Stegostoma tigrinum: one gene and its partner. The protein of the gene in region 1 interacts with the protein of each later gene in a pairwise test. Links are inferred from orthologs where the notes say so. Each region holds a gene or a part of one and is shown in the gene's direction. Other genes may lie near its edges.

Evidence for each region.
Region 2: the proteins of ceramide transfer protein (region 1) and casein kinase I interact in binary tests that used the Homo sapiens proteins (3 or more experiments, as listed by UniProt). The two-hybrid records come from large-scale screens. The link is inferred for Stegostoma tigrinum from reciprocal best matches to the Homo sapiens genes CERT1 and CSNK1G2.

The regions. Positions count from the first base shown.
Region 1 is NC_081356.1:105,102,461-105,118,232, reverse strand, and holds the start of ceramide transfer protein, read left to right. Parts: upstream 1-9,729; 5' UTR 9,730-9,912; coding exon 9,913-10,005; intron 10,006-10,838; coding exon 10,839-10,973; intron 10,974-15,772. UniProt on the Homo sapiens protein: Shelters ceramides and diacylglycerol lipids inside its START domain and mediates the intracellular trafficking of ceramides and diacylglycerol lipids in a non-vesicular manner.
Region 2 is NC_081383.1:18,637,199-18,652,998, forward strand, and holds the start of casein kinase I, read left to right. Parts: upstream 1-9,272; 5' UTR 9,273-9,412; intron 9,413-15,800. UniProt on the Homo sapiens protein: Serine/threonine-protein kinase. Casein kinases are operationally defined by their preferential utilization of acidic proteins such as caseins as substrates. It can phosphorylate a large number of proteins. Participates in Wnt signaling.

The DNA.
Region 1 (15,772 bases):
CAGTAGTGGTGGAGTCAGATATATTAGGAACATTTAAGTGACTCTTGGATAGGCACATGGACGATAATAAATTGTAGGGTATGCAGGGTAGTTTGATCTTAGAGTAGGATAATAGGTCGGCACAACACCATGGGCCAAAGGGCCTGTACTGTGCTGTACTGTTCTATGATCGATGAAACGTCAACTTTCCTTCCCCTCCGATGCTGCCTGGCCTGCTGTGTTCCTCCAACTCCACACTGTGTTATATCAGAGATGAGATAAGTTTTTTTTAAAAGCAGTAAATAATCATGATCTGGAATGCACTGTTTCAAAGGGTGGTAGAAAGAAACATAAAAATAATTTTAAGAAAGGAATTGAAGAAACACTCAAGGGGGAAAATATATGGCTACTGGCCAAAGGCTACAGGAGTAGAATAAAATTCAATAATACTTTCTATGTTCCGGGACAGGCACACTGGGCCAATTATGCAGCTCTGTATTTTCTATAGTCCCATGTTAATAACTGAAAATGAACCACTTGATCTGAGCATGTGAAAATAGTCAGCTGTAGTGCTACAGTGAAATGCAACACATGATACAGCAGGTTATCTTTAATTTACGATAACAATACTAAATTTTTGTTAAGCTTTGCTTCCTTGTCTTGGCTATGTGAAACACTTTTGTTCTCTGTTAAGTGTGTTGTTACATCGTGTTTCCACGTGCTGTGTGAATTTAATTTGATTTTTATTTACTGTACTGATGAAGGTGAGTAATGCTGCTTTAACTAAATTGCCTTTGCTAAGGCCTACCTGATCAATCAAATGTCTCTTATGCTGCTTTTATAGTGCCCTGGTAGCAGGAGTTAGCAGGCCTAGGGCATTATTGAATGTAATACAAAAAAGACGTAAGATTAAGGAAGATAATCTTTTAGCCAATAGTTCAAAATTTAAAATATTTTGTTCACAAAATTTTGGAAAGTGATTCCTTAAATTCTGCTCTGACATGGAACTGGGCTGAAACTTCTCCTATGGGACTTGATTTTATGTGATCCTGCTTTTTAGCCATTGACATGAATAAAATGCTGCCAAGAAAACAAGATATGGTTGGGCAGTCAGGCAGGCCATTTTATGAACTCTGTGAGAAGTTGTTGGGATGTAAGGTGATATTATTTAGGGATGCGAGAACCAGAGCTCCATTCCTCTCCCTCTTTGTCATTTCCCTATCCATGCAGTCTGCCCAACAAAACCCAGCTTCTCTCTCCCTGGGCTATTGAGTCTCTTCTGGCCCTAAAGCCCAGGAACCACCTTCTTGGTACAGATATGATCCACTTCACACTTCTTCCCGCAATCCCATCAACATCTACTGGTGCTGCTGGGAAAGATGGAACATCTGGTTTCTTCCAACTGAGGAGCAGAAGTCCCACGTTAGCCAATTTTACCTGCCCACAGCAAATCGGGTACAAGCTGACTTTCCTTCTGGGGCAAGTTAAAAAACAGTCCATGATATGCGATTCCATTAACTTATCTTAATTCTGGTGATAGTGGTTGAGTACAATTATGTTCAACATTTTCTAAATGCTAGACTAAAACAAAATCAGTTGGTTTATTTTCAAAATACTGCCATGGAGAGCAAACCTTTGCTTGGGTATTGCTGTTTTGTGACTGTTCCAAGATCAGAACGTCTTTCGTTGTTCAGTGTCCATGACGACTTATGAAACATAGCCAATCGGTAGGGTTCCCATTGGCATATTTTCTGCATAAGTTACCACCAAAAGAACAAAGAGAGAAAAATGTTAGAAATGCAAGCTTTTTGGTAAGTAACCAAACAGCATCTTTGCAATGTACCATTTATAAATAATAAATCTTTCTAAAAATGTTTTACAGGCTGAGGTTTCTAAGATTCCAAAATAAGATTTAAACATACGTCCCTGTACATATATTAGAGGGCTTTACGACATAATTTATATTTGGTATCGGTATTAAGTTTTGTGCCTACAGGCAAACATTGGAGTTTTAATTCAGAGCCTCAGACTCTACTTCAGATTTATCAGCATCAACAACATAATACCACATTCCTGGATTCCGTGTAGGAAATGCAATTACCTAAATAGTGGGGGAACGTAATACACTCTAGTGATAATAGATAGAAATGCATTTATTTACATCCTGAGGTGCACATCACTGACACCCTCCTTCTGCCTTCTCAAGCCTAACCCATAACATCACTTTTCACATTCACTTAATTACAGGTGCTCCCATCCTTCTCTGTTCATGCGTTTACTCATATCTCTATAGGTCCATTTACCACTTTACTCACTCTTGTGCTTATGCAATGTACATCTGTCCCTCATAGCTGCCTTCATGCAATATATTGATTATTGCTTGGAGGACACTTGAGAGTCAACCACATTGCTGTGGTCTGGTGTCAAGGATAATGGCTAAGGATAATGGCTTTCCTTCCCTAAGCATATTAGTGAACCAGGTGGATTTTTTAACCTATTGATAGTGGTTACATAGTCATCATAAGGCTAGCATTTTTTAATTCCCAGATTTTCAACTAAATTCAAATTTCTTCATTCGTCATTGTTCCCAGAACATTGGCCTGAGGTTCTAGATTACTATTCCAGAAACACTACAACTACACTACCACCTCCTATTGAATAGCAGTGACTTGCTTCCACTTCTACCAAAACTACAGGAATTACACTACATAGGAATCACAAGAAAAGGAAAAGTAAGGAAAACAACAAATGCTGGAGATCACACCGGGTCAGGCAGCATCCATGAAAAGACAGTGAGCTAGCATTTCAAGTCTACATAACACTTCATCAGAGCTAAACAAGTCAGAGGTTAGGATTTCTACAGCAAATACATTGCCCCTAATTCTCTGAAGACTGACACATTGACAAGGCATAAGTGTCGCTGTGTCATGGAATACCCTGCATTGTGTGGCCAAGTGAAGCTCCAACTAACATTCAAAAAGCTCAGAGATAATGGGAACTGCAGATGCTGGAGAAGTGATAATTTAATTTAAACTGTGGGCTCTCCTTCCAGCAGGTAGTAAATTGTGGTTAAATGTCTGAGATAACAAAGTGTGAAGCTGGATGAACACAGCAGGCCAAGCAGCATCTCAGGTGCACAAAAGCTGACGTTTCGGGCCTAGACCCTTCATCAGAGAGGGTTGTTATCTTGGATTCTCCAGCATCTGCAGTTCCCACTAGCATGTGGTTAAATGTCTCTTTTTTTCACTTTTAATTTTTTTCTCTTTCCACCATTGATTTTTCTTCCATTTATCTGCATCTAGTTTGGTTCTAATTTAGCCCATCTGCTTCTCCATTATTCACTGTCATTTCTCCGTTCTTAAGGGTCTAGGCCTGAAACGTCAGCTTTTGTGCTCCTGAGATGCTGCTCGGCCTGCTGAGTTCATCCAGCTTCACACTTTGTTATCTTATTCAAAAAGCTCATCTTGATTCAGGACAAAGCTGCTTCATTAGCACCACATCCAGCACAAACATTCAATCATTCCACAAATTCAAAACTGCAGCAATATTTACATTCAATAAGTAACACTTAACTAACTTGCCCATGCTCTTCTAACAACACTTCCCATGCAAATGAATAGCAAGGATGTGGAATCGCTGCCACAGGAAGTGGTTAAAGCAAAATGGTCTAAATTTAGTGTGCAGTTTCATGGTGATAATAAACAGCATTAACCTAATACAACTAGGAAACATAGAAGGAGGCTAACATGAAGTATAAATGTGGACATGGCTGTTAAAGGTGAACTATATATTGTGCGTCAATGTAATATCACCCAACGTCTATATTAGCATATTTCATCAAATAAATAAATGGATATGTCAGGAGCAGAAACCCAAATTCAGTTTTCCTCTCTGAAGGAAGAGAACTCACTTAGATTATCTCTGCTGCACTAGATTAAATGAATTAACACCACAATGACTGTGGTCATTGGCAGAGTTCACAGTTCACCACCTTACTATTGTCAAGAAATTGCTGGCATTTGATTTGTAAAAATGAACTATGCTCATCCTAAAAGATTAGGGGCTGCAATTTCAAAGTCCCTTTTATGACAATATTTAAGTTCATGTTTTGCCTTATCATCTGGCTGGCCCTGAAAAGTGATAATTTAAACTGTGGACTCTCCTTCCAGCAGGTAGTAAATTGTGGTTAAATGTCTCTTTTTTTCAATTTTAATTTTTTTTCTCTTTCCACTTATCTGCATCTAGTTTGGTTCTAATTTACCCCATCTGCTTCTCCATTATTCACTGTCATTTCTCCGTTCTTAAGTTTCACTGGATAAGGAATAAATTTATTTGTCCAATGGTTCACCAAGGCCCCAGATCCCCCATTGTCCTCACAGGATCAGCCTACACTTACACTCATGTGGAGCACAAAACTAACTGAGGAAAGGATGAGGAAAAAGATTCAACTTGTAGCATTAACCTTTATATGCTCCACTGTAGAAAATTCTGGGTTGACTTTTTTTTTAGAATAGATTACCTACAGGTTATCCCTGGCTGATTCCAGCATATATAGACACATATTACATTCAATGCTTTTAAGAAAACTGATGCTGAAAGCTTGAAATGTACAGTAAGTCAACAAAGAGACCACTAGGAGGTAGAAAAGATGATAATAACACAATCAAGCGTAAAAACTCTACCAGTTAGGGCTTTTGTGGCACAGTGATCATATTCAAACCTTTGAACCAGAAGTAGCAGAACAGGAACTACATTGATTTTTCCTCATAGGAGGGAAACAGAATGTTTGGTAACAATAATATTAATTATGTGAGTTTTATATGGTTTGCAAATTCAAACCAATCTTGAGGGATGGTACCTAATCTTTTGCATGGGTACTTTCCAGACTCTGGACTCGAATTTCAGTTCAACTATATTAGATCATGACTCCTGGAGCAACTTTGTTTCTGTTGTGATTATAAGAAGGTCGGCGAGGTGGACTATATTAAGTATGAGTTCCCTGACTGGGGCTGTTAATCTGGTCCAATCGGGGAGTGCTGGCTGAAAGAAATAAACAGGAGTGTCAGAGGTTCTGTTTACTCTCAGAGCTGGGGCTGAGGGAGTTGAACCAGTGTCAAGGGTTCTCCACGTGTAAATAAAGGGTGATTTAGTGATGGGATACCAACCTCTATGGAGTTAATTCAGTTTCCTTTGTCTTTGCTAGTTTTGAGAAATTTCGAAAAGGGAGGCAGCAGGAATACCAGGAATTATAAACCATTCAGCATGATGTCAGTAGTGGGAAAATACTAAGATCCATTATAAATGGATTCACAGCTAGGTATTTGGAAGACAGTGGCTGGATTGGACAGACTCAGCATAGATTCATGAAAGGAAAGTCATGCTTGACAATTCTATTAAATTTTTCGAGAATTAATGGGGAATCCAGTGGTTTACTTGAACCTTCAGAGGCTTTCAATAAAGTCCCACATATGAGATTAGTGTGTAAAATTAAAGTATATGGGATAATGGGCAGTATATTGAGATGGATAGAAAACTGGAAGGCAGGCAGGAAATAAAGAATAGGAATAAACGGGTTTTGTTCTGCAACTAGTGGGATACCGCAGTGATCACTGCTAGGACCCCTATTTTCAATATATATTAATGATTTGGATGAGCGAGCTAAATGTAATATCTCCAAATTTGCAGGTGATGCAAAGCAGGATAGGAGAGACATCAGTAACGTGGATGCTGAGAATCATTGAATCACTACAGTGTGGAAACAGGCCCTTCGGCCCAACAAGTCCACACTGACCCTCAGAGCATCTCACTCAGACCCGGACCCCAAAAACCCACCAAATCTACACTTCTCTGAACACTACAGGGTAATTTAGCATGGCCAATCTACCTAGCGTGTACATCTTTGGTCTGTGGGAGTGGAGCACCTGGAGGAAACCCACACAGACACGGGGAGAATGTGCAAATTCCATGCAGACAGTCACCCGAGGGTGGAATCAAACCCGGGCCGGCACTGTTAGGCAGCAGTCCTAACCACTGAGCCACCGTGCCGCACCACAGATATCCTTCGGTGCAATTTGGACAAGTGAAGCGAGTGAGCAAATGCATGACAGATGCAGTACGACATTGATAAATGTGAGGTTGTCCATTTTGGTACCAAAAACAGGAAAGCAGACGATGATCTGTATGGATATAAACTGCCTTCATACACCAGTTGCTGAAAGTAAGCTTTCAGGTCCAGTAAGCTAAAGAAAGTAAATAGTGCATTGACCTCAATGGTGAGAGGATTTCGTACAGGAGCAATAATGTCTTGCTGCAATTGTACAGGGCCTTTATGAGACAACATCTGAAATATATGTGTGGTTTTGGACTCTGTATATGAGAAAGGATGATCTTTCTATAGATGGAGGGCAGTGAAGATTTATCTGGGTACGACAGGCCTGACATTTGAGGAGAGGTTGAATCATTTAGGATTACCTTCAGTGGAGTTCTGAAGAATGAGGGAGAATCTCACAGAAACCTGTAAAATTCTAACAGGACTAGATAGGGTAGATACAGGAGTCCAGAACTAGTCTAAGATTATAGGTTAAACACAGCACTGCAATGAGGAGAAATTTCTTCACTCAGATAATGGTGAGCCTGTGGAATTCACGACCACAGAAAGCAGTCGAGTCCAAGATATTGTATGATTGCAAGAAGGAGACGCATGTAGTACTTAGGGACAAAGAGATCAAATGATATGTCGGAAAAGCAGTCACAGGCTATTGAGTTGGGTGATCAGCCATGATGATCACAAACAATGCAGCAGATTTGAAGGGTGAAATTACCTATTCCTGTTCCTATTTTCTCTGTTTGTATAAAAATGAAACAATTGGTTAAGCTGATGTTGTGCTGTGGTGTACATGGACTTTCAGAAAATATTTGATGCAGTGCAGCACAACATACTTTTAAACAAAGTTAGAGCTCATGGAATAAATTGTAACATGGAACTAACATTGGCTGAATGATAGGAAAAAGAACACTGGTTACTGTTAAGAATAACATGGTGCAGAGCTGGATGAACACAGCAGCCAAGCAGCATCGGAGGAGCAGGAAAGCTGACGCTTCGGGCCTAGACCGATTCTCCCTGTGTCTGTGTGGGTTTCCTCCAGGTGCTCCAGTTTCCTGCTCCTCTGATGCTGTGTGGCCTGCATGTTCATCCAGCTCTACACCTTGTTATCTCAGATTCTCCAGCATCTGCAGTTCCAACTATCACTGGTTAATGATGATTCTTTTGGGGAACATTTGTTGTAGGTCAACGTTTTGAACATTACCCTTTCTGATATTTACTAATAATTCAAATTTTGGTTTATAGGGCAAAATTTTAAAAGTTGTAGATGAGACAAAATCTGGAAGAATCTAAACTTTGTGGATAGTGCAGATCTTTAAATCAACAAAGGCAAGTCGGTGGTGTGGACAGGTAAGTGGCAATTGAGATTCAAATCAGAGGAGAGTGAGATGATACATTTTTGTCGAAGAACATGCAGATGACATAAAATTAAGGTGCGCAGAACAAAAGTAGTGGGGTGCATAAGTCATTAAGTGTTGTAGAACAGATTGAAAAAGCAGTTAATAAAGCATTCAATATGCTGGGCTTTACTAATAGGTGCATAGAGTACAACAGCAAGAAGGTTACATTCAACTTATATCAGTCACTAATTTAGCCTCAGGTGGAGTATTGAATCCAGGTCTCAGTGCTACTCTTTATAAAGGATGTGACTACATGAGAGACAGTATATTGGAGAGAGGGAGGTTTACAAGAATGATTCCAGGGATGAGGAGAACTTCAGCCATGTAAATAAGAGAATCTGGGACTTGTCTCCTTGAGAAAACTTCATTGAAGTATTCAAAGTCATGAGAGATCTAGAGAGTGACTAGGGAGAAAATGTTGCCATTCAAGAAATGATCAAAAATGAAACAGCACAGATTAAAAGTAACGAGTAAAAGAAATAAAAAAAAAGAGGAAAAGCTTTTCCATGTAGCAAGTGATTAGGATCTGGATCACATTGCCTGAAAACTCAGTGAATGCAGATTCAATTGATAGAGGAATTAGATAGTTTCTTTTCAAAGGAAGAACATACATGGTTACAGGGAGAAGGCAGGAGAACGGTAGTAGATGAGGTACTCATTTGGAGAGCTGGTGCAGATGTGATGGGCTGAATGGCCTTCTTCTGCACTGTAACACCCCTGAGGTTCTTCAACTTTTCACAGGTGTGATGAAAGATCATCGAATTGAAACCTTCATTGTTTCTCTCCGCAAGGATGTTGACAAACCTGGTGAAACTTTCCCACATCTTCTCTTTTAGTTCCAATTTCCAGCATCTGTAATATTTTAGTTTTATAAATTGTCCATTTATTTGATTGACACTTTTCATAGAAACACTGCTACACAGAATTTGTTTGCAGTGTTGTATTTGTTCCCTGCCTATTGCCTATTGTTTGCAATACTTTGAATTTTATCGGTCAAAACAAAGGTGAGCATTTATGGAGTAAACACAGCCTTCCACAACCCAAAGTAGAGACCGAAAAACTAATTGACAGCAAATCACAGAAAGGACAGCATAGAAAGAAGGCATTTGGCCCATTGTCTCTGTGCTGGCTTCCTGTAAGTGCAGTTGACTTAGCACCATTTCCCGCCATAGCTCTGTAAATCGTTCATCTTCTGATAGTTCTCCAGTTCTCTTTTGAAAACTACCATTTTCACTAAGCAAATTCCATATCCTATCTCCTGGCTGTGTTGTTGACACAGAGGTCTTCAACATAGGAAAAGGCCCTTTAGCGAATCCAGTCCACATCAGTTGAAAAATAACCGCTTGGCTATTCTAATCCCATCTGCCCATATCTTTAAATATTTTTCTGAAGAAGGGTGCAGACCGGAAACATCAAGCTTTCCTGCATCTCTGATGCTGCTTGGACTGCTGTGTTCATCCAGCCTCACACCGTGTTACCTCAGATTCTCCAGCATCGGCAGTTCCAACTACCTCTGCCCATATCTTGATATGTCTCGTAGATAGCAATAACTGCAGATGTTGGAGTCAGAGACAACAGTGTAGAGCTGGAGGAAACCGTAGGTCGGGCAGCATCCAAACTCAGTTCTAAAGAAGGGTCCCCGCCCAAAACGTCGACTTTCCTGCTCCTCTAATGCTGCCTGACCTGCTGTGTTCCTCCAGTTCCGCTCTGTGTTGTCTCCTTATACTCCTTGGCGCTTTTAAACCTATTCTTCTAATCAACTTGTTCAGAGATGTTATTACATAACTCTGGTGCTGATAAGGCGTGAACGTGGGCCAACTGATCCAAAGGCATTACATTGTCACAGCACCAAAAATGTCCAAAAGCTTTTTTTCTCCTCATACCACTTCTTTTGCCAACAACCGGGTGGTCATCTTGGTTTTTGATGCTCCCACCAACAGAAACAATCCCCCCTCCTCACCTCACCTCAACACAACAACGGCATTTTGCGCTCGGCTTTTTGTGAGCTCCTTGTAGGTTGATAAAAGTGACAAGGGGTTGGGGGAATGACACGTATCTTTTCCTTGTTCCCTCACCGAGGGAAAAGTGGCCGGCACTTTCACTTAGCGTTGTAATAATAAATGCCCAGTGCCTCGCCGCCCCCGTCCAGCGTGAGCAACCGCTCTCTCAGCACCGCCTCGCGTTCCCCGCCCCCTCACAATTCGGCGCGCTCCCGGCGCCGCCCCCTTTCTGCGCGTGCCCGCTCGTCCGAGCACTCGGAGGCTGACGTCACCAAAATGGTGGTGCTCTGAGCTTCAAGTGCCAGTGAGGAGTGGAAAAGCAACAACCGGAGCCGGAGCTGTTAGTGCCTTCCCTTTCCTTTCCCTTCCCGCCCCTGCCTCCCCTTTTCCCTCCCCCAATCGGACCGTCACTTCGTTCCTGTCTCTCTCAATGTCGGATAACCAGAGCTGGAATTCTTCCTCCGAAGAGGATCTGGACACCGAGTCCGGGCCGCCTGTTGAGCTGTGCGGGATACTGAGCAAGGTGAGCTCGGGGCTGGGGCCCGCGGCTTCCACCACCCCGGACTCCCTCGTTTAACAGAACTTGTCCTTAAGTCCTCCTCCTCCACCCTCAACTCCCTTCCGTCGGGATTGTGCAACCCACGCTTTCCCTCTCCCCAAACCCCCCGAGGAGAAGTGCTTTGCCTAGTCAATCAGAGTCTTCATCCCGCTGTGAGACCTGCTCCCCCGGGACCCCGTTGATATTCCGTTAAACTTCTTGGCAAGCTTCTCCCTGTCCCCCGGTAACGGAGAGGCAACGGCCGGATCTCCGCGGCCTGTCGCTCAGTCCCAGCTACTCACTAGCTGATTAATTACAGATGGTGTAATATTAGAGGGAAAGTTATGAAAAATGGGAGCCGTCACAAACGCAGAACTTCACTCTTGCTTGTTGTGTACAGCTTGGTATCTTTAAAATAACGAAAGCAGTGTTTTTTTGACAGCTCCGTGCGTAGTGTTTGTGTGCTGGAGTTAAAGTTGTTTTCTGGTGTATGTGCTCTCTTTAACCCCGAGTCCAAAGTGTTCGTGGACCCGGTGCTGGCCGATATGCCAGAGCTTTTGCTTTTGCATCAAAACTTTACTGTGAACGCGGGCGTGTTCGTTTTGTTGCAACACCGACGCTAGAGTGAGGAATACATTCAGCCCTCTGCCGTTTACACTTGAATCGAGTGGCTGGCTGGCTGAGTGGAGGGGCGCTTTTCCAAGGGATTATAAATCAGTTTTATACGAAATGAAACATTTTGAACGTTCTGCGTAGTAGAATCCAATCTAACGTATATCTTAGTATCGTATTACTAATTTGTTTTAACGTCTTTTCAGTGGACCAACTATATCCATGGGTGGCAGGACCGATGGGTGGTTTTAAAAACCAACACTTTGAGTTACTACAAATCGGAGGATGAAACCGAATACGGTTGTAGGGGATCAATCTGTCTAAGCAAAGCTGTCATTACCGTAAGTTTGCTAAATGTTCGTTGTATTGCTGCTCATGGTTTGTGCCATCCTGTTTCCATAGTATAATATGCAATAGTTTAGTTTCACTAATTTGAATCCTGCAATATGTCCTCTAAATCTTTGTGCCTTTTTGTAATTCTCTCTATGTAGAGAGAAGATTGGACAAGCAAATTATTGTGGATTGATTTGTTCAGGTTGATATGCTTTTAACCTTATGATCTTGGTGGTAGCTATGTGGACAATGGCAGGTGACAATTGATCTACCATTCCGAAATTTAGTTAGTTAAGCAGTCTAAGTTTTAAATTGATTCTTGCGTGATAGGAAATGAGCATCTCACCAGTAATAATGTATTAACCTTAGTCTTGTTCAGAGTCTTTTGTTAAATGGGTCTGGCTATGAAAGGTCATTTTGATGCCTTCCACAACATCAGGATGTCCCAAAGTACTATAGCCAATTAATTGCTTTTGCAGTGTAGTCACACTTGTAAATTAGTAACTTAATTGGAAACTGGGTATTGGTGTTGTGTATACAACTTGTTCAGGAATAATCCCGTGGTATTGTGCTGTGGGTCTGATTTGATTTGAGATCATAACCAGCTTTTACTTGGCTCACACTTACCCCTGAAGCTTTGGGGAGTAGAACACTTTTCTTGTGTGGGAGCTGCAAGTGAGAAGGGACGCTGGCGAAGGATCCTTCCTTGGCACAAAGTGTGCTTCTGGTAGACTGATCGGGGAATGGCAATTTTGTTGAACTTGGAAGTCTGTCCTGAAAATGGGCACGTAAACCCAAAGTTTTTGCACTGCAGGTATTTCAAGAATCTGAAGTTGCCTTGATCACTAAAGCACCCTGCGACTTACCTAAGATTCAAGTTGTACCTGAAGGCTAAAAAGTTCTTAGTTGATGAGGTATTGTAGGAGGAGACAAAAACAAAGCTGATTCATAAGGGATAATGCGAACTGCAGATGCTGGAGAATCCAAGATAACAAAGTGTGAAGCTGGATGAACACAGCAGGCCAAGCAGCATCTCAGGAGCACAAAAGCTGATGTTTCGGGCCTAGACTCGTGAGATGCTGCTTGGCCTGCTGTGTTCATCCAGCTTCACACTTTGTTATCCTGATTCATCAGGGTCCTGACCTGAAAAGTCAACTTTCCTGCACCTTTGCTGTCTGGCCTGCTGTGCTGCTCCAGCTGCATGTTGTGTTATCGCTGATATTGTAGTTATGTGTTATCTTGCTGCTTTCTTTCTACTCACCTGATGGAAGTTAGATTCCTTTGGCTAAGGGAATGATGTTTGTTCTGGTCTTCAAACTTATGTTTGAAATGTTGAGGTAAAATATTGCCTGCTCTTTGAACACATTTGGGGTGGAGGTAGAGTAACTGCCAGAAGTTAGCAGCAACAGCCACCAGCATTTACATGCTGCATTAATTGCTGTACAAGATCTGGAGCAATAACAACACCAAGCTACTGAAGGAGGTATCAGAGCAGATGACCAAATGCTTAACCAAAGAGGGGGGTTTTTCAGGACAAACATAAGCAGGAGTGGAACAGAGGTGCAGCATGTCTGCTAATCTTGGAACATGTAAAATTAGCGTTGTTCAAGAGGCCAGAATTAGAAGAGCATTCATACCTTTGGCCTTGTAATGCTGGATGCCACATTGATTGGCTCATTAGTGCCAGAATTCTGTGGTGATAATACTAATAATCTGGACAAATGAGAGGTGATGCATTTTGGAAGATAAACATCCTGGAATTTACCATTGACCAGAAACTGAATTGAAGCAGCCATATAAATAACATAGCTACAAGAACAGGTCAGAGATTGGGAATTCTGTAGCATGTAAGTCATCCATTGCCTTCCACTGCCTATTCACATGTCTGAAGTGTGATGCAACAGTTTGTGCTTGGCTGGGTGTGTGCAGTTGTTCCTTTGCTGTCACTATGTAAACATCCTGGAATCCCTCCCTAACAGCATCGTGGATGTACCTACAACACATGGACTGAGGCAGTTCAAGAAAGCAACTCCATCTTCCTCAGGGTGATACTTATGGGTAATAACTGCTGGCCTAGCCACCAATCCTAAATCTTGTGAATGATTAATAACAATGTTCCAGATCTCATAGAGGTTTGAAAAATGAGTGTTCAAACTGAGGTGTTTCATTGAAAGGCAATGAAAGTCAGCTAGCACAGGGATGAAGGAGAGATTTGCATGGTCAGCATACAAGCAACAGATGTGTTTGTAGGATTGTAAGTTTGGAGGCTAGTCATTCAAGGGTTAAAGTAGGTAAATCTAGAAAAGCTAAAGGCTAAAATTGACTTTTCAGCAGCAGGTGAACTGAGGCAGGATTGAAATTGAGTGATTTAACAGAGGTTGAAATTTTTGTGATAGTAAACCTATGTAATCGGAAATTCATCTCCAGGATCAAGTACAGCTAAGGTTGTGAATGGCCGTCTTCTGCAGGCAGTTGGAAGGGTTAAACTGGCTGTCAAAAAAAGGTGTTTGTGGGAACCAAAGATAGTGACTTCAGTTGTGTAACATTTAATTGAAGGAAATGTTTGCTCATCCAAAATTCAATGTCAAACAAGCAGTGTGACAAATCAAAGAAAGTAGAGAACTTCAAGAGGTGGTTGTGAGGTAGAATAGTGTGTGGCCGGCTTTGATGTAAATTTTGATTTTTTTTTTGCATAACAGCACTGAAGGGAGTCAAGAGTTGGTCCTTCAGGGTTTCCTGAGTTAAGTTCCACACTCTTCTCTTCTTTCCCTTTCAAATATGAGACATTTAATATGTATCTATGGTTACAGTAGTTTATTTTCAATAAATACATGCTAATTTTAATGCCCTTAACATGCTTAACTGAAGCAGTAATTGTGTACTTAACACTTAAGTCTTTACCAAGGCAGCACTGCAATCAGAATTTCAAATTAGAAGTGTGCAACTTTTCAAGTGGGTTCAAGTGTTAAAACTTTTTTTTCCCCATGCAAAATTAGTGATTTGTATAGGTATATGTTAGCACTCCAGTTCTCACAAGAAATGGCTATTGAATTGTGAAGCCTGATGTGCTTTTTGAGTCAAGGAGTGGCAATTCAGTCAAGTGCAGTTGTGCTTGCCTGAATAGGAAACTGGTCAATGATTTGGATAGATTCAGTCCTGCCGCTTTCTGTCCACCCTAACCTGACAGCATGTAAGATTTCTAAAATCTATATAGTTCAGGCTAGTGACTTCAGGATGAGTGCTTAATTAAATAGTGGACCTTGGATTTGGTGATTCTGGCTCTCTCACTGTTTTAAGAGTTTAATATGTAAATCAAAGAATGATTTGAGGGAAGCTCAGTGGATGTTGTCTGCATGGACTTTAGTAAGGCATATGATCTGGTCCTCATGGCAGGCTGGTACAAAACATAGTCTCCTGGGATCAGGGGTGAACTGGCTGGATTGATACAAAAGTGGCTTGGTTATACACAGTAGCAGTGGAAGGGTACTTTTCAGAACGGAGATCAGTGACTAGTGGTGTTGTGCAGGGATCAGTGCTGGCACCTTTGTAATATAATTAAATGATCTGGAAGAAATTATAGGTTATCTGATCAGTAAGTTTTCGGATGATGCCAAGTTTGACGCAATTTCAGGTAGTGAGGAGGATACTGTGGGATATAAGTTGCAGATTTGGTTTTTGGGCAGAGGAATGGCAGATGGAAAATCTGGACAAATGAGAGGTGATGCATTTTGGAAGATAAAATTTAGGTGCAAACTATATTTGGTGTGAACCCTCAGGAACGTTTAACGTACAAAGGGATCTGGGCATACTGGTCCACCGATCCCTGAAAGTGGCAATCCTGGTGTATAAGATGGTCAAGATGGCATACAGGATGCTTGCTTTCAATGACTGGGGGCATCGAACATGAAGATAGGCAGGTTATGTTAAAACTGTACAAAACTTGAGGTCATATTTGGAATGTTGCGTGCAGTTCTGATCGCCACACTTGCAGAAGTATATGAATGCTTTGGAAATGATGCTGCCTGGTCTGGAGGTTTGCAATTGAGGAAAAGTTGGATAAACTCAAAATTGTTTTACTGAAAAGATGGGAGATGAGGGGGTGACCTGATCAATGCCTCTCAATTCTCTAGACGTAGATAAGGTGGATTGCCGGAGGTATTTTCCCCAGGGTGGAAAGTTCAACTACAAGAGGGCAGAGGTTCACAGTGAGAAGGGTGGGTTGTTTATCAAGAAAAGTTTTCATTTTAGGATGCCTGGAATGCACTACCTCTGGCAGTGGTGGAAGCAGGCCCACTAGCAATGCTTCTGGCTTATCTTGACAGACACATGAGTGAGAGGCAAACAGCAGGATAGATACTGTGCATGGATAGTTAGTAATGGGTCTAAGTAAGGATTAGGAATTGGCACAAGTTTGGTGGATCTATGATCCTGTTCCTATGCTGTTGTGTATAAATGGTGATATAATGCCATAGAGACTACCGTATTCATTCTCCATTGTGACCAGATCTTGACTCAATGCATTATTTGTTTTAGAAGGGTGGACATGTTCAAGTATGAATTATATAAAAAGATGGATAAACCTTCAATATTTTCTCATACAAAATAGCAGCAACCGAGTAAATAACGGTGACTAATTATTGTCAAGAAAAGAGGGGACTTTTCTGGGGACTGTGGATATCTTTCAAACCTGTTGCCAGGATAAGTTTCTACTTTTGAGAAAGTAGTGAGCAGCTTAAGTGAGTTTAATTGATCCAGGAAAATGAACAGTAGTATCATTGGAGCTAGTTTTGCCAGCAGTTGCATTCGT
Region 2 (15,800 bases), on another chromosome or scaffold:
TTGCTATTTGCTCTCAAGATGTCAAAACTGTTATCACTAGATTCAGACTGATTAGCCAGGAGTAATTTTGGCAGTCGGCCTTGGGTTCTGAATCCTTGGCAACTTCTGTTAGTGAATCACTCCTAGCATCTAGTGTTCTTTTCTGTAATGGAATTTCATTTACAGATTACCTCACCAATTAGTAAAGTCCCTGCACATTTACTTTAATACGTCCAAGTTCCAAAAAAAAATTAGTATGTTTGTTTTAATAACAGTACACAATTATACATGCATATGTTTATTAAACAACCATAATTTGGATGTGCTTTTTCTCAGGACAGGTGCTGTAGGGGGCAACGTGCATTTAGCCAAGAATTTGAACAATTTGTGAGACGATTTATGGATAAACTTGATTATCTGTAATGAACATAATTGCAGATATGCTTTAACGCAGTCCTGGTTCGGAGGGGTGATGGTAAATAACATCTAGTTACTACTCAGATTATCATAAAATCAAAATTATATTTGGAAGATTGTTCTGGATATTAACAATAATGAAAACCATTATTTGAAAATTATGATTTCCAGTGTGGGTAGCAGGACTGAGACATTTAGAAACATAGTGGCTCCTTCATATCTTGAATCACACCAGTTATGGGGCCATTATTTTGGCACAAATCATTTCTGTTATTGTTTGCATAAGTTTGAAGCTGACATGCTGTTTAACAAGCCATTCTTTCTGCCAAGTTTACTTAGCCAGTTTTTTTTAAAACTTGTGTAATTATCACATTGAACTATGAATACTTTGGCCTTAAAGTATGATTTAGTGAATAGCTGAGAAACTGTCACTGCATTAATTGTAATCTGAAACATACAGTTTTTGCCTGTGTTTGGAAAACTTACCATATACTTAACATATTTACAACGGCAGACATACTAAATGACAAGTGATATGGATGATTAACCAATATAAACTGTAGTCATCTGAAAAATCTTGAAATATTTACATTGTTTGACATTCTTGATATTGCCTGATGTGAAAACTCCTCCCCTAATCCTGTACTTAACTGATGGAAACAAGCCTTCAACTTAACAAGCATGAAGGTTTTTCATAACACCTAATTGAAACAAACTTCTTATGTAATGTTAGACATTAGTTCTACATATGCAACTTTTCTTGACCACAGAAGAAAAAAACATTCCAGGATATTAGTCAACTTGGTCATGCTGACTTGGAAATGTGATTCAAGATATGATGACTTTTACTTATGAACTGTCATGAAGTTAATTAAACTTTGTCTGTGCCATATCAAAAACAAATCCAAGTTGTCTCATTCAATGCTGGAATATTTTAATCTGTAGTATGTTTACTGTTTATTGGAAAATGATAAAGATAGTTGCATTTTCAAAATTAACGAGAAGAAATTTTTGGAACTTGTTCATCCTTTGTTGATTAATTCAGTTTTTACTTTGAAGGAATTGGATTATTTTTGTCAAATCAGTTGTGTTAAGGGTATGTGGTGGGCATTAGGAGAAACTAGATAGGACAAGTATCAGTAGTTCCCTGTGGCATTGACACAAGTGCTGTTTCACATGGAAACCATACCTGCTATTGACACATCATGGAGTAAGGTTTTACTTACCAATTAATTTACTTGATCACGTTTAATGTAGTTATGTAAGAAAAGAAGAAATGGACCAACATGATGGCAGCTACCATATCAAAGCTGTTTCTTTCACATATCTTTCAAGATCTATTTTGTTTGCTTGCAATTAGAAAACAATTAAAGGACCAAAAAAATCCTTATACGTACTGAACATATATAAAGTATTGAACTTTATTTAAGTTTGCTGTGACCCTTTTCAGAAGTGTACTTACCTCTAATGTTGCGCTGCAGCTCCCAAAATAAGGTGTGTGCCTTTATAGTGTTTCTAATTAGAAATGATCTGTACTTTGAGAAGTTTTCAACATTGGGGACATTGTTGTCCAGGAAGAAATTACCTTTGCCTTAAACACTTGGTTTTTTTTTGATGATGAAATTATCCTAAGTATCTACACCATTGCAAGTTGTGTTATTAGTTGTTATTCAGTTGTTAACTTCCAATTAACACTGGGTCACTGAGATTCTGTTTTCAAATTTGGAGAATTACAGAAACATTAGCCTCTGAATATCTGTTATCAAATTTATTTCTTTTGGAAGGGAGAAAGCTTAAAGAACAAACACTAAAATATTTTCCTGAATAACTTCCATTTCATTGTTCAATTGGATCTAAATATATATTTGGTCAACGCGAATATGACTGATCTCTTGGATTGCTTTAATACATTAATATAGAGACTTATGCACTTATAAATTTTATCAATGCTCAAGCAGTTGATTAATTGCCGTAGTTGAAATGCAGGTATGACAATGATGACGATGTAAAATTTATTCATTAAGGATGCATCTGAAAATTCAGTAGACAGCACATGGACCCTTGGATTATAAAAAAAAATTCAGTTTAAATATTAGTTACCATAGGCATATAATATCGCAGGTTTGCTTTCAATGCATGAGCTTTTCACGTACAGTTCTCCCTTAAGTCCCAATTAAAACTTATTTTGCTAATTCCCAGAAAGGTTAAAATTAGAATTAGTTGTACAATTATTGGCACTTGAATTTATATGTTTTAGCCTTTGAAGATGACATGCTAAAATCAGCCAGTGAGCAGACGAGGACATTTTATGTAAAATCTTGTCTGCAGTGATGCTGAGTAATGGGTGAAAGACCTGTAGGCCGTACAGTATTTTTTAATGGGGAAGATTTATCAGTTAACTCGTACTTTGTCAAGGCTGTTTGGTTGAAATCTTAAAATACAGGAACTGAGGAGAACTGAAGGTCATCAGAATGCTTGCAGTCATATCTCAACATTCTAGGTTGTGGGTGAAATCAGTTTAATGTCCACCATGTTTTAAGCTGTGCAAAACATCCCTTTTTAGTTTATTGAAGCATCACAAAAACTCATTTTATTGACACTGTAAGCAACATGCACATTTTTTTCAAAATTTGCCACAGTTTTGAAAAATGTATGAGTACTGAAACAAAAATGAACTTTTTGCATCGAACAATTATTACAAAGCAATAGTTATTTACAAACCTTTGTTTTGGAATAAGCATATGTATCAGGTGCAAATTTACACAGGCTAATTCTCTTGCAATGGGATTTAAAAACAAACCCAAAAGCCACCCTATGGAAATCAATTGGGAATGTATAAAATAGTCATCTTAATTTTGGAAAATGTAATTGATTTGAAGTAGGTCATCAAATATGAGCAGATGAGAGGCAGAGCTGTGAACTCCATTTCTTACTGAAACTATTTCAACTAGCAAGATGCACAGCGATACTTTATTTTTTAAAAAATGCAAAATAAAATTTCTTGTCCGGTATGCTAATATGATCTTAAAATTGAATCAGCAGGATTTGCATAGTTAATGAGACCTAGGACTTGAAGCTTGCAGTTAACTCTAGCTGTTTATTTTAGTTAGGGCAAAACATGCTATTGATGCTCAATACTCATAACGTGTAGAGTGATGTGCATTAAACAGATGCTTTTAGTTGATTTATTCTGCAAGTTATTTATCTTTAGCTTTAATAATACCTTCAAAATTAAGATTGAAGTCCATAACTGATTGTTTTTGCATAGCATTGAAGTCCATACATTGTTTTGAGTTATTTAAATACCTATTTTTGATTTATACCTGAAGTCTTTTAATTTGACGATATTTTCCTACACACACTGACATATTCTAGAAAAGTGGTTTATTAAAAATATATCCTGCACTGCCACAATGATGCCACCCGAAGGTTGCAGGAACAGCAACTCATATTCCGCCTGGGAACCCTGCAGCCATATGGTATCTATGTGGACTTCACCAGTTTCAAAATCTCCCCTTCCCCTACTGCATCCCTAAACCAGCCCAGTGCATCCCCTCCCCCCACTGCACCACACAACCAGCCCAGCTCTTCCCCCTCACCCACTGCATCCCAAAACCAGTCCAACCTGTCTCTGCCTCCCTAACCGGTTCTTCCTCTCACCCATCCCTTCCTCCCACCCCAAGCCGCACCCCCCGCTACCTACTAACCTCATCCCACCTCCTTGACCTGTCCGTCTTCCCTGGACTGACCTATCCCCTCCCTACCTCCCCACCTACACCCTCTCCACCTATCTTCTTTACTCTCCATCTTCGGTCCGCCTCCCCCTCTCTCCCTATTTATTCCAGTTCCCTCCCCACATCCCCCTCTCTGATGAAGGGTCTAGGCCCGAAACGTCAGCTTTTGTGCTCCTGAGATGCTGCTTGGCCTGCTGTGTTCATCCAGCCTCACATTTTATTATCTTGGAATCTCCAGCATCTGCAGTTCCCATTATCTCTTATTAAAAAGTCCATTACTTTCATTTGCAAGAAATTTAAATTAGAACCAAATTTATGAGATTGATTGCATCTACTGTAATTAGAGACTATTTAAGCCCTTGAAAAAGAGCTGAGTGATTTTTTTTTCTCATAGACATTTGTTATGCAATATAGATGCCTTGTTTCATATCTGGTGTGTTTATTTGGAAATGCATATACATATGTGTTTATTATTTACATATAGACTTACTTTTTAAATACACAGCCATGACTGTGAACGAAATACCCATTTTTCAGTCTGACAGAAGTATTCATTGTGGTCACTTCAGCATTTAGTTCAATACTCCCTGGTCTCTGTACAGCACTCTACAACTAGTGTATTATGATCATTGTGCTGCTTTACATCCTTCTGAATCACACAAGCTAGGACACCTTGTAATTCCTAAAAATCCTATTGATATATTTTGGCAAGCCAAACAATGGGATTCCCAGCTTGATGAGAATAAGTCATACTCCATTTTTCAAAGAGTTGCAAACACTTTGTTTCCATGAGGTTGAGTTATAATGAATGAAGGAAGGAAAAAACATGTTTTGACATTCCTACTTTGCAAAAAATGCACTTTTTTAGCTGATTGAAAGACTACATTCTACAGCTAGCCAGAATTTTAAGAAATTGAAAGAATTGAATTAAAAATAATCAAGCATTTTAATACATGCCGCATGATTAAAGCACCTGCATGACCAAATGTGTACTTTAGAATACGTTCTTTGGGTGCTATTTTTACGTTGAGGTTTTTTTTGTATTAAACTTAAAACCTAATTTGTTTTGATGTGTGAAATGTAAAATTATGACCTGGACTCTGAAGCATTCATTTTAGAAAAGTTATCCATAAAATTTTCGTTTGCATGAGAATATGGTATAACACTATCACATTGCTCCATTTCCTGAAGATATGTTATGCTGGTTTGCTATTTTCTGCTTTTGTAATTAAGAGTGTATGTTTATTTGTGACCTTCATAGCACAGACTAGACAGAAGTGTTGAGTAGTTCCCAGGCAAATTTTTTTTTAACTAACTTCAGTTTGAATGATCTGTCCGTGTGTGTGTGTATGTATATATATGTTCTGCTCAAATGTCTTGGTCGTAAGATACTAACATAGCTCTAATATGTATTACGTATTGTGTTCAATTTGATTTAAAATGCCAAACACAACAAATAAACAAAAGGGATTGTTGTCAATTTGTTTGACAAGTCTTCAGAATGTATTTACTCGTATAATATGCAGGTCTATTTGAAGTTAATACGTAAATGAAATGTGAGAATGAAAAGTGCTTTTTTATTCTCAACTAATCTAGTCATTCTTTGATTTGTACTTTTATTCATTTGTCTAATTTTATTTTAAATAAATACTTCTAAAGATTTAAAATCAAAATTCTCTTTGAAGCAAATATTGGCTCTAATTCACTTTAACCCTAATCCTATTGCACTAGACATTTCCCTCCAGTGTTTGACTTTCATGCTAAATAATTGCATAATTTAATCCAAGTGTTCGGAATTGGATGTTTAGAAAAGGCCTTGTTAAAACTACAAAGCATGGAGAATAAATTTAAATAAGATGTTCCATTGGCTTTTTGAAGGATTTTTAATCCCAATATAGACCATTCATCCTTTCAAAATATTTATCATTCCTCTTTAAAGCCACAAAGTTTTAAAATTGCTTTTGTAGATGTAACTTTTAATAAGTAATATTTGTGCAAAAAAAATTGAATTCAGATTCATTTTCTTTTGCAATCTTAATGCAACAATTGTCTACTTAATGACTGATTAACCCCTGATTATCACAGTTAAATATAAAACTGGAAAAAAAATTATCTTTGGATACAGCAATTGAAATATTGTTCAAATTTTATTTGATATGCTTCTGATTATTGGGTTTCCTGTTAAACATTTCACACTTAGAATGAAGTAATGGATTGAACAGGAACAAAGAAAATTCACCATCATACAGCAATCTCTAGCTAGATAATTGTAAAGGGAACCCAGCCTTAGACATAACTGCTGAGGAGTCTGATGTTGGAAAAGTTGGCTGTCTGACTTCTACCCCGCACCCCTCCTCCATTTAACACCCTTCTTGCCTTATTTGTGAGGAAGATGAAACAAAATGTTGTACAGCGATGAGCTAATTTCCAGATAATTTTGATCAGTCTTTCAGAACTTATGGATTTTTGCAAAGTAGTTGAATATGAATGTTTGGCTACCAAAGTGCTTTGTCTTTTGTGCAGCTGTATACTAAACAAACTGTTCCTATCATTATACTCCAGAAAGCTGATGGTCAATACCAATGTGGCCTTTTAAACATTTTATTAAAAAAAACTATGAACATTTGATAGTTGAAGCTGACAAGAGATTGTTACAACTCCCTAAGAGGGATTTTTTTTTCCTATAACTGAAAGTTTTATTCATTTGAACATATCTTAATTTCCTGTTATGGACTTTACCTGTTTCAAGGTTTTAATATGTTCTGCATGAAATGTTAAATGTAAAAGGTATTGTTTCCCATTTAAGGGAAAATCCATTGTTTTAAAAAGGAAACACTAATTATAGGCAAGACTGACAGTATTTTGTGGTCAAAATAATGCGTATTGTAAAATTGTAAGCTTATAATTGCTAATAAAGTGCCTATGTTAATCAATATGAACTACTGTATTTAATTTCTGATAACACCAAAGTAAATCGAGCCAGCTAAAAGTTGAAGGAAAGCTATTAAAACTACTGGTTCTGGTTGCAGGTGTAATATGATATCTATCAGCTGCTGAATCAGAATCTGTGCATCCCGTCTGACCTCGCGCAGAGCTTCTGATCCCTTGTTTTCTATCTCCCGGATTTGTCTTTTTTTTGTGTCATTGCCCATTTTCAGCTTATTTGCCACGACTCACATCTATAACTTTTGCTGCTCTGACACTCCAGTATTCCAGTGCTGCCCATCCTCCACCAGCTTGGGCTTTTTATAGAAACAACTGTACTAAGATGCTATATGAACAAACAATTAGACAAAAAAACAGCAGAGTTAAAGGAGAAAGTAGGACAGGTGACAGTTTTGTCAAAGCTTGTGTTTGTATTTACATTTGCAACTTTGACTTTTGTGCCTAACTTTGCAAGGCTCCAGTATTCATTATCAGCTTTTTTTTGTCATGTGTATATTACTACTGCTGTAGCTGTCTACAGTCCGCTCCAACCACTCAATAGTAGTGTATTTTTACTGAATGTTTTTTAAAACATTGGTTAATAGTAACCAGCATTCAATTATGAGCAGTTTTAGGATCTCACCTATTCATGTTACACATTAACGACTTGGAGGCAGTAAGGACTGCAGATGTTGGAAGCTAGTCAGTGAATGTGGAGCTGGAAAAGCACTGCAGGTCAGACAGCATCCGAGGAGCAGGCAAGTCAATGTTTTAGGATCCAGACAAAGGGTTTCAGCCTAACAAAGGGTTTTAGCCCAAAATGTTCCTGCTCCTCGGCTGCTGTCTGACTTGCTGTGCTTTTTCAGTTCCACGTTTTTTGACATATTTAATGATCAGGACAACGAAATGGAGGGCATTTTGCTAGGTTTTCAGATGATACAAATGATGGAGGGACAGGTAGTGTTGTGGAAGTGGGGAGGCTGTAGAAGGACTTGGATAGGCTACAAGAATGGGCAAAGAAATAGCAGATGGCAAGCAATGGGGGAAAGTGAGGTTATGTACTTTTGGTAGGAATATAAGCATACTGTTTTCTAAAGGGGAAAGGTTTTTGGAAATCTGAAGCACACAAGGACTTGAGAGTCCTATTTCGGGATTCTAAGGTTAAAAAGCAGTTGTCAACCAGGAAAGCAAATGCAATAGTGGAGCAGACTTGATGGGACAAGATACAGAAGCAGAATTTATTACCTGATGATGGAACTTAATAATTATGAGTTCAAGAAATGTGTTCATGAATCTAACCGTACAGGAATGTGAGGTATTTAGTAATGAATTAAGAACATATGTAATTCATATCTATTCACAACCTGATCCGCTCAGTACTTTTCTGGTATTTAAGACTCCCTCTATCCACTCTGAATACAGGCTGCTGTCGTTACCGTTAAGTCCCACCTGCTCCAGCCATGTCGTAACATATCTAAACAGAACTTTTAAACTGCCCATTGCTGCATCTTCCCAGCTATAACTAGCATAAATGATGTACATTCTCTCACGCTGTAACCGTATTGATCCGCAAGGCTGCAGTCGCTTTCAAACATGGCTGTGGGACTGCCGGCCCCGAGCTGCTTGAGGGACAGCAAAGTAGGCTAGCATTGCTAGACCAGCAGTTGAAAGCTGAAGAGTGCAAAAAAAATCATGGTCCTATGTGAAACGTTTGGTTCACACGTACCCCCTTCCCCCCCGCCGGAACTAACGATTTCGGCGAAACACACACGGGTTTCGTATGAAAAACTCAGCCGGAAATTAAAAAGGGGCAGACTCCATGAGACGATCTGACGTCAGAGACCGCCTTGTCTCCGTGTTTTTACGCCACATTTTTATATTTTTTCGTCACTAAAACATGTCCTGCTGTAATACTGCTAGAGGCCTCTTCTCTTCCCACCCCCACCCCGAACAAACGCAAACGGACTATCCGCCTCTTATCAACAAGACGCTTACAGCGAGACCACCATCTGGCAACTACTTTCGCCTGAACTTTCCTCTCCCTGCTCAGCCGAACTTGTGGTGGGGGTATCCTGATTGACGGTTCAAATAACCAATCGGAGTCGCGGTCGTCCCTAGCAACGCTCCAAAATGGTGGAGGTTTCCGAAGAATGGACCAATCCGCGCGGTGAGTCCCGCCAAACCAGCAAGTTCGGTGGACTCTGGCGGTCGGCAGGTAATGCGCATGCACAAAGGAGTTGCCCTGGTGCTGGATTGGAAATAGGTTTAGAAAAAATCCCAGCGGTGATATAAAAAAACAGCAAGAGAGGGAGACAGAAATGAGGGAAGAAGCTGCTGTAACCCTGGCCTAGAAAAAGGTATTAAGTGTTTCTCACCTCTGAGAACAGAGCGGTGAAAGAGAGTGGCTGGTTTTTTGCTGTTGCTCTCCCGGGATTTGTGTATTTTTGTCCTAAGAATTACTTAGGATTAGGCTCGGTTGTGTTTGGCTAGGCCTTCATGGACTCTTGCCGCTTTTAAATGAACTAAATCCTGTTCCCTCTGCCTCTTGCGCTGTATCCCCTGCTTCAGAGAAGCTTTCAGTTTGTTGCTTTAGATGTGACGAGAAACACCGACGTCCATGTCAGATGCAACACTTTAAAACGCTATAAAGGACTCTTTAGTTTTTCTCTTATTTTTGTAAATGGAATTTTTAATTGATTTTACCAAGTTGCTCAAGTCCAGGCCATCGACGGTGCATATGCGTTTGCCAGTATAGACGTAGGAGAATTTACGCATCGAATTGCACCAAGTTAAGTACTGTTTTTCGGGTGGTGGCCGTGTTGGGTGAACTTACCATGAAACCACCAGATGAATGAATTCCATGTTCGATCCAGCTCAAGCGACTGCATTAGCGTTGGTACATTTTGTCTGTATCTATGAAACGTTTACTGTCTTTTTAAATAATTTTTAAATGAAAATCTAGTTAGCATTCATAAACGGTACTATGGATGGAACAGCACCTGTATAAGGCATTATAGTTGTTACTCAACCTTACAGTACTCTCATTTGACTGTATTTGTTGCCATTTTCCTTTCTACAACAGCCCTCTCCTAATTCCTTCTAATCAAAAACAAAGCAAGTCCTCTGTAGCGGATAGAAATACTTATGGTTCCCCATGGACAATGGCTAATTATCGATTTTCTGCTTGGTGCAATGCCATAACGTGTCAAAATGGCTAATGTCATCTTTGGTTTGCCTTTTAAAAGCATTGGTTTAAAGTTTTGAGGTATGATATATGCTTTAGATTCGAAGTTACCAGTGAACACATTTAAGAGCAAATCTGAACTGCTAAATTTCCAGAGCAAGCGATAACTTTTTTCTAAAAGACATTTAAACTTTCAGTTAATAGTTGAAACGTTGACAAGTTTGCATATTTTAAGGCTTGTCCTGTAACAAAAGAGTAAAGACTTTTTTGTTTAGGACTTTGTAAAAGCCAAAAAGAACAAAGGCAAAAGCACACTTTCCATTTACATTATATTGAACTTTAAGTAGGCATTCACTTGGAGCCAGTCCAAGTTTGTATTTATTTCTGTACTTTTCCTGAGCTGAAAAGTTCTCAGGCTGTGAGCTGCCTTTCACAATAAGGTTTTCCCTTTAGAGGTTCTTGATTCCAGCTGGGTAAATCTTCAAGCTTTGAACTCCTCATGAATTCAGTCTGTAATCTCAGAATGAGCTTTCACACATATTACTATGTGAACTATAACAGCTTTCTGGTGGCTGGTTTCACTCTCCTGATAGACTAGCCATGTCAAGAACTTTCAGGAATAACTTGGACCCTTCCCCTGTTGAAGCCTATTTCCATTCAGACACACATCATGTGGGGCTTGAATCAAGTTAGAAGTGCTGATTATCTGTTCTTAATTCTCTTAATTTTCTGCAGTAGGGTCATAGAAATTTATAGCATGGAAACAGACCCTTTGTCTCAACCTATCCATGCTGCCCACTCTTAACAATTAAACTTGTCCCATTAGTCTCCATTTGGTCCATATCCTTCTATGCCTATCCAACCCATCCACGTGCCTGTCTAAATGTTTCCTAAATGACAAAACTGTACTTGTCTCTGCTACTATCTTTGGCAGGCCTTTGCAGATACTCACTGCCTTCTGTATGGAAAAAATTGCCCTTCTGGACCCTTAAACCTATGCTCCCTAATTTTAGACACCCATTCCAATAGGGAAAATCTGTTGCCTTATCTACGTTATCTACACCTCTTACGATTTTATAGATCTCTATAAGGTCACCCATCTTCAATACGAATATACAGTATAATGCATATCTGCTTACTACGCTCATACTTTTCTGGGACTTAAGCCTCCCTCTATCCACTCTTTGAACATAGGCTGACGCCGCTCTCTCCAAGTCCCACCTGCACCAAAAGTGTCTCAACATCTCTGTAGACAGTTTTTAAAAACACATTGCTGCGTTTTACTGGGAAAGTACAGCAATGAGGCTTTCCCCCCCCCCCCCCCCCCCCACACTTAATGTCTCCCGGTCAAACTGCTTGCTATCAGCAGATTTCAAAACAGATCATATGGCCCCTTCATTTTACCTTAAGTTTAAGGCAGTCTCAAAACATAACAATCTTAGAGACATCAATTATAAGTGAATGTCAATCGAATTATGCCCAAACCATAATATCAATAAGTAGAGCTTTGCTTGTTAGTTGCAATGCTTGACTGCCACCTTATTTGATTATTTAACTTTAAGCTTAATGTGCCTTTTTGAACCCAAATTGTAGAGTTGTGCAGGTGCTGTATACATGTAAAGCTGCAGCTTTAAATGGTACAGCTATGAGGGCAGATTGTTGATACTAATGTATCCTATTAGGAATGTAAATGGAAAGGAGTGGGAGGGGTGAGGGATGGAGAATATCAACCAAATAGATTTCTAAGTATGTTTCATAGTTGCCTCTGCTGCTTTGGTGCGTGGGGGGAAACAAACTCTGCATCTCCATTTGTAAAATGAAGTTTGAAATAACTTCAGTTATAACGCATCTTGAATATGATTTACTTTTGAGAATTCTTCTAGGGAATCTAGTATAATATAATATAATAGAACCAACTGGTCTTATGGGATGATAGCCACTATTTTATTTTCTGATACGTCCAAACAATGGTGGACATCTTGGTTGAATATCCTATCTAAACGATGACTGTAAACTACTTGAGTATTGTTTACACTTGAGATTTTTGCTTACTGTATGACATAATATACATTTATGAATAGATTTCACTTCATCTAAGTTGTATGTTAGCACTAAGTCTCTAGTTTGGCTGTCTCATCGAGCTGATTGTTGGGATCTGAATGATCTCCTATATCCTGGACTTTGAAGCTAGCAGTAGCCCTTTTGTGTGGCTTGAAAAAATTGGATTCTACCTCTTTGAGGCCTGATTATTTTGAGAACTTGTCTGTCATGACTTCCTTTTTTCTTTTTTCTTTCTTTTTCCTGGATCACTTTTAACTTTACTGCATGGCATTTCGGAAATGTTGGACATTGATTGTTCTCTTCTTCCAACATATCCTACTAAATGCATTGTCTGGTGCATTTTGGGCACTTTTTAATATTGGGCTATCTGTTCTAAGATGCAGCCTGAACTTCTGTAAATACGAATGCCAAGTTATACTATTAGCTTAGTTTGTAGTATTTTGAACCTTTGACATGAATCTTTTGATTTTTAACAATGTTGTAATATGCCTTTCTTGGATTAATTTTATTGATAAACCAATTGCAACGTGGCTTTGTAAGGTTTTTGAGTAGACTTGTAGCTCAGGTTGTGGATGTTGTGGTTGATTGGCTCACTGAGCTGGTTCGTTGTTCTGCAGACGATTCGGTACCCTGCTGGGTAACATCAGTGCAGCCTCCAATGAAGCGCTGTTAGGTTTTCCCACCTGGTGTTTAAACTCTGGTGTCCGTTGAGTTGGATCACCTCACTTCCAGTTTTCCTTTTGCAGTGGAGTGTATACAGGATCTAGCTGTATGTGTTTGTTGATGGCTTCACCATTTTGTGGTGGTTTTGTGCTTGCAACTGTATTGAAGTAAAGATAAAATAGTCACGGACATACCAGACTATAGGATTGCTATCTTATTCAAGAGAGAGACAGCCGATTTGTTTAACGCAAGAGTCGACATGCCTTAGTTAGGGAGACAGGTTGAGAAGGAGAGTCCTTCATGATAACCTCAGCCATTGCAGGAACTGAACCCATACTGTTAGCATCACTCTGCATCACAAGTCAGCTGTTCAGCACACTGAACTAACCAACTCCCTGGATTGGAACAAGTCACTTAATATACACAATCAATACATTTTCAAATTTAACTCAAAATACTTTGTTACACCATACATTTTGGGGGCAATATTTTGACTGCTCACTTAAAGTGGATTTTGTATTTATGTAACACTTACTTATTCAATGGCATTTTTTAAAAAAATCGGTTCAGCTCTCAAGTTATGCCAGTTCATTCCTATAGCTTGTTAGAAGCAAGGATCCTGCCAAAAATTTCTATGTTCAGGAAGTTTGCTGACTTCTTTATTGCAAACCCTGTGCTCCTTAGACCAGTATAATTTTTTGTTTTACTTTAGTGGAAAGTACTTGATGCAGATGGAGACTGGGAAATGTCTTGACAAGTTTTTGTTAATAGTTGGGCTTTTAGACAGGACATTAATGATCCTAAAAGGAGCTAGGTAGACTGATACTGTAATTTATTGGTGTTTTGTGTGAATAACTATAACTCAAGTTATGTTAGTCTTTTGATGGGCAAAGAGTTTAAAATTATCTTGAACTGAATTCTTTAATGAGGCGAGAGGAAGAAAGTTACAGAATTGACTATTTGGTTGTATTCAAATATGAAACTAATGTGATATTAAATTGCAGCAGAATTCAATTATTGGGAATACTGATAGTGTAGTGGAAGAAGTAGGGCATGTTTAAATAGTTTGTCATCAATGCTGTGTTTCCCAGACGTATTTTGGTATTTCTGCAATAGCAAAAATTGCAACACCCCCTTAATTGTTAGGCGATTAATTTTGACAACGGCAAATTTGGGGAGAAAAATTCTGAAGTTAACTTGGAAATTTGTTGTAGTGATCTGACTATCGGTCATCTCTGCTAACAGTTTATATTGTGCAATCATGTATTCAAGTGTTTAAATTTCTGCGTGGAGTCAATGGCTACATGCCAAACCTGAGAGCATTGTTGTGTGCAATAACTTGCATATACCCAAGAAGAACTTTATAGTGTGCCTGGTTTTGTCAATGTTTTCAATGTTAAAACATTCATACTTAATTGCATTTTTTTATATATGACTGTTTGTTTATTCTGTCACAACAATCCTATTTTCTTGTAAAGTAATTTTGTATGCACCCTCTTCACAGTTTCAGGAAGATCAAATGTTGCCTACAGGATGATATGGAATAGATTGTTTTAAAAATCAACTTTTTGCTTCTTTGGAAGTGTAATTTCAAAGTTATCCAGATTTAATGCTCAGTTTAACTTTTTTATGAACAGAAAGGGCCAAGAGCTTTTGTTTCTTGAAACAAGAGAATGATAGAAATTAAAGACCAGCTGCTTCCTATAGACCAGAAGATAAAGTGAAAACTGGTCACAAGTGATGAATTTTATCCCCAATTAAATCAAAGATACCGTGGTGTCTTTATTTTTGAAAAAGAGTGAAGGCTTCAAAATCACTTTTCTTAAAACGTAAGTTAAACGGCACTGCAAATTCATGTATATTGCCCATCCATGCTTGTCCTTTGAGAAGGCAATGATGAGCTACCTTGGATAGCTATAGTGCATGCAGTGCTGATTGTGGAGGCTGATCACAGTCTTTTGATGCAGTAAAGAAATGGTAATAGATTTCCAAGTCAGGATGGTATGAGACTTGGAGACAAACTTGGACCTGGTGTTCTACCCAAGCATCTGTTGAGCATGAGATGGTAGGGATAACAGGTTTGGAAGGTACTGTCAAAAGAACTTTGGTCAGTCAGTAGAGTGCACGTTGCCACCTGTAGATGTATTTCCTGAATGTATAATTTCACCATATTTAATCAGATGTGTTCTTACTTGGTGGAATAAGTTTCCAAGAACATTTTGTGATACCTTGTGTAATCCTTAATATGGTGAGTGTATGTTTTATGGTCTAACCTAGGGTTACTTACAATCAAAATATTCTTGGTTATTCTCATAGTCTATGTGGAAATGAACCAATCTTGGCCAAACAAGTGTAGGTTATCGAAAATGTTCCATGATCCTGTGGTTGGCAGAGAAATTCATCTGAGGATTTAGCTTCTGTTTGCTGAAATTCCTGGAAGGTGCTTGTGCCATTATAAGGTGTCCACTTTGATTCGTAAAGCTGTCACTGGATTGTCAAGGTCATTTGATGTCAGAATAAAACTTACGTGCATGAATTCATGCTCCTTACTTTATAGCCACTTTAGGTAGAAAGCTGGAGTATTACGTAAAAGACCAAGTACACACATGTATTCAGGAACACTGGCATTCTGAAAATGCAATGAATACTAATTTGCTGGGAGAAACATAATTTTGAAATCTTAATTGGAAATAATTTATACTTGCAAATAAATTGTAAACGAATTATTAATTTTAAAAGTTTGCCTTATGCACAGCTGAAAATAGTGCGAGAACAAGGTACTTTGTTTTTTTTTAACCAGCTCATTACACGCATAGGAGTACCACAAGCTTCTGCAG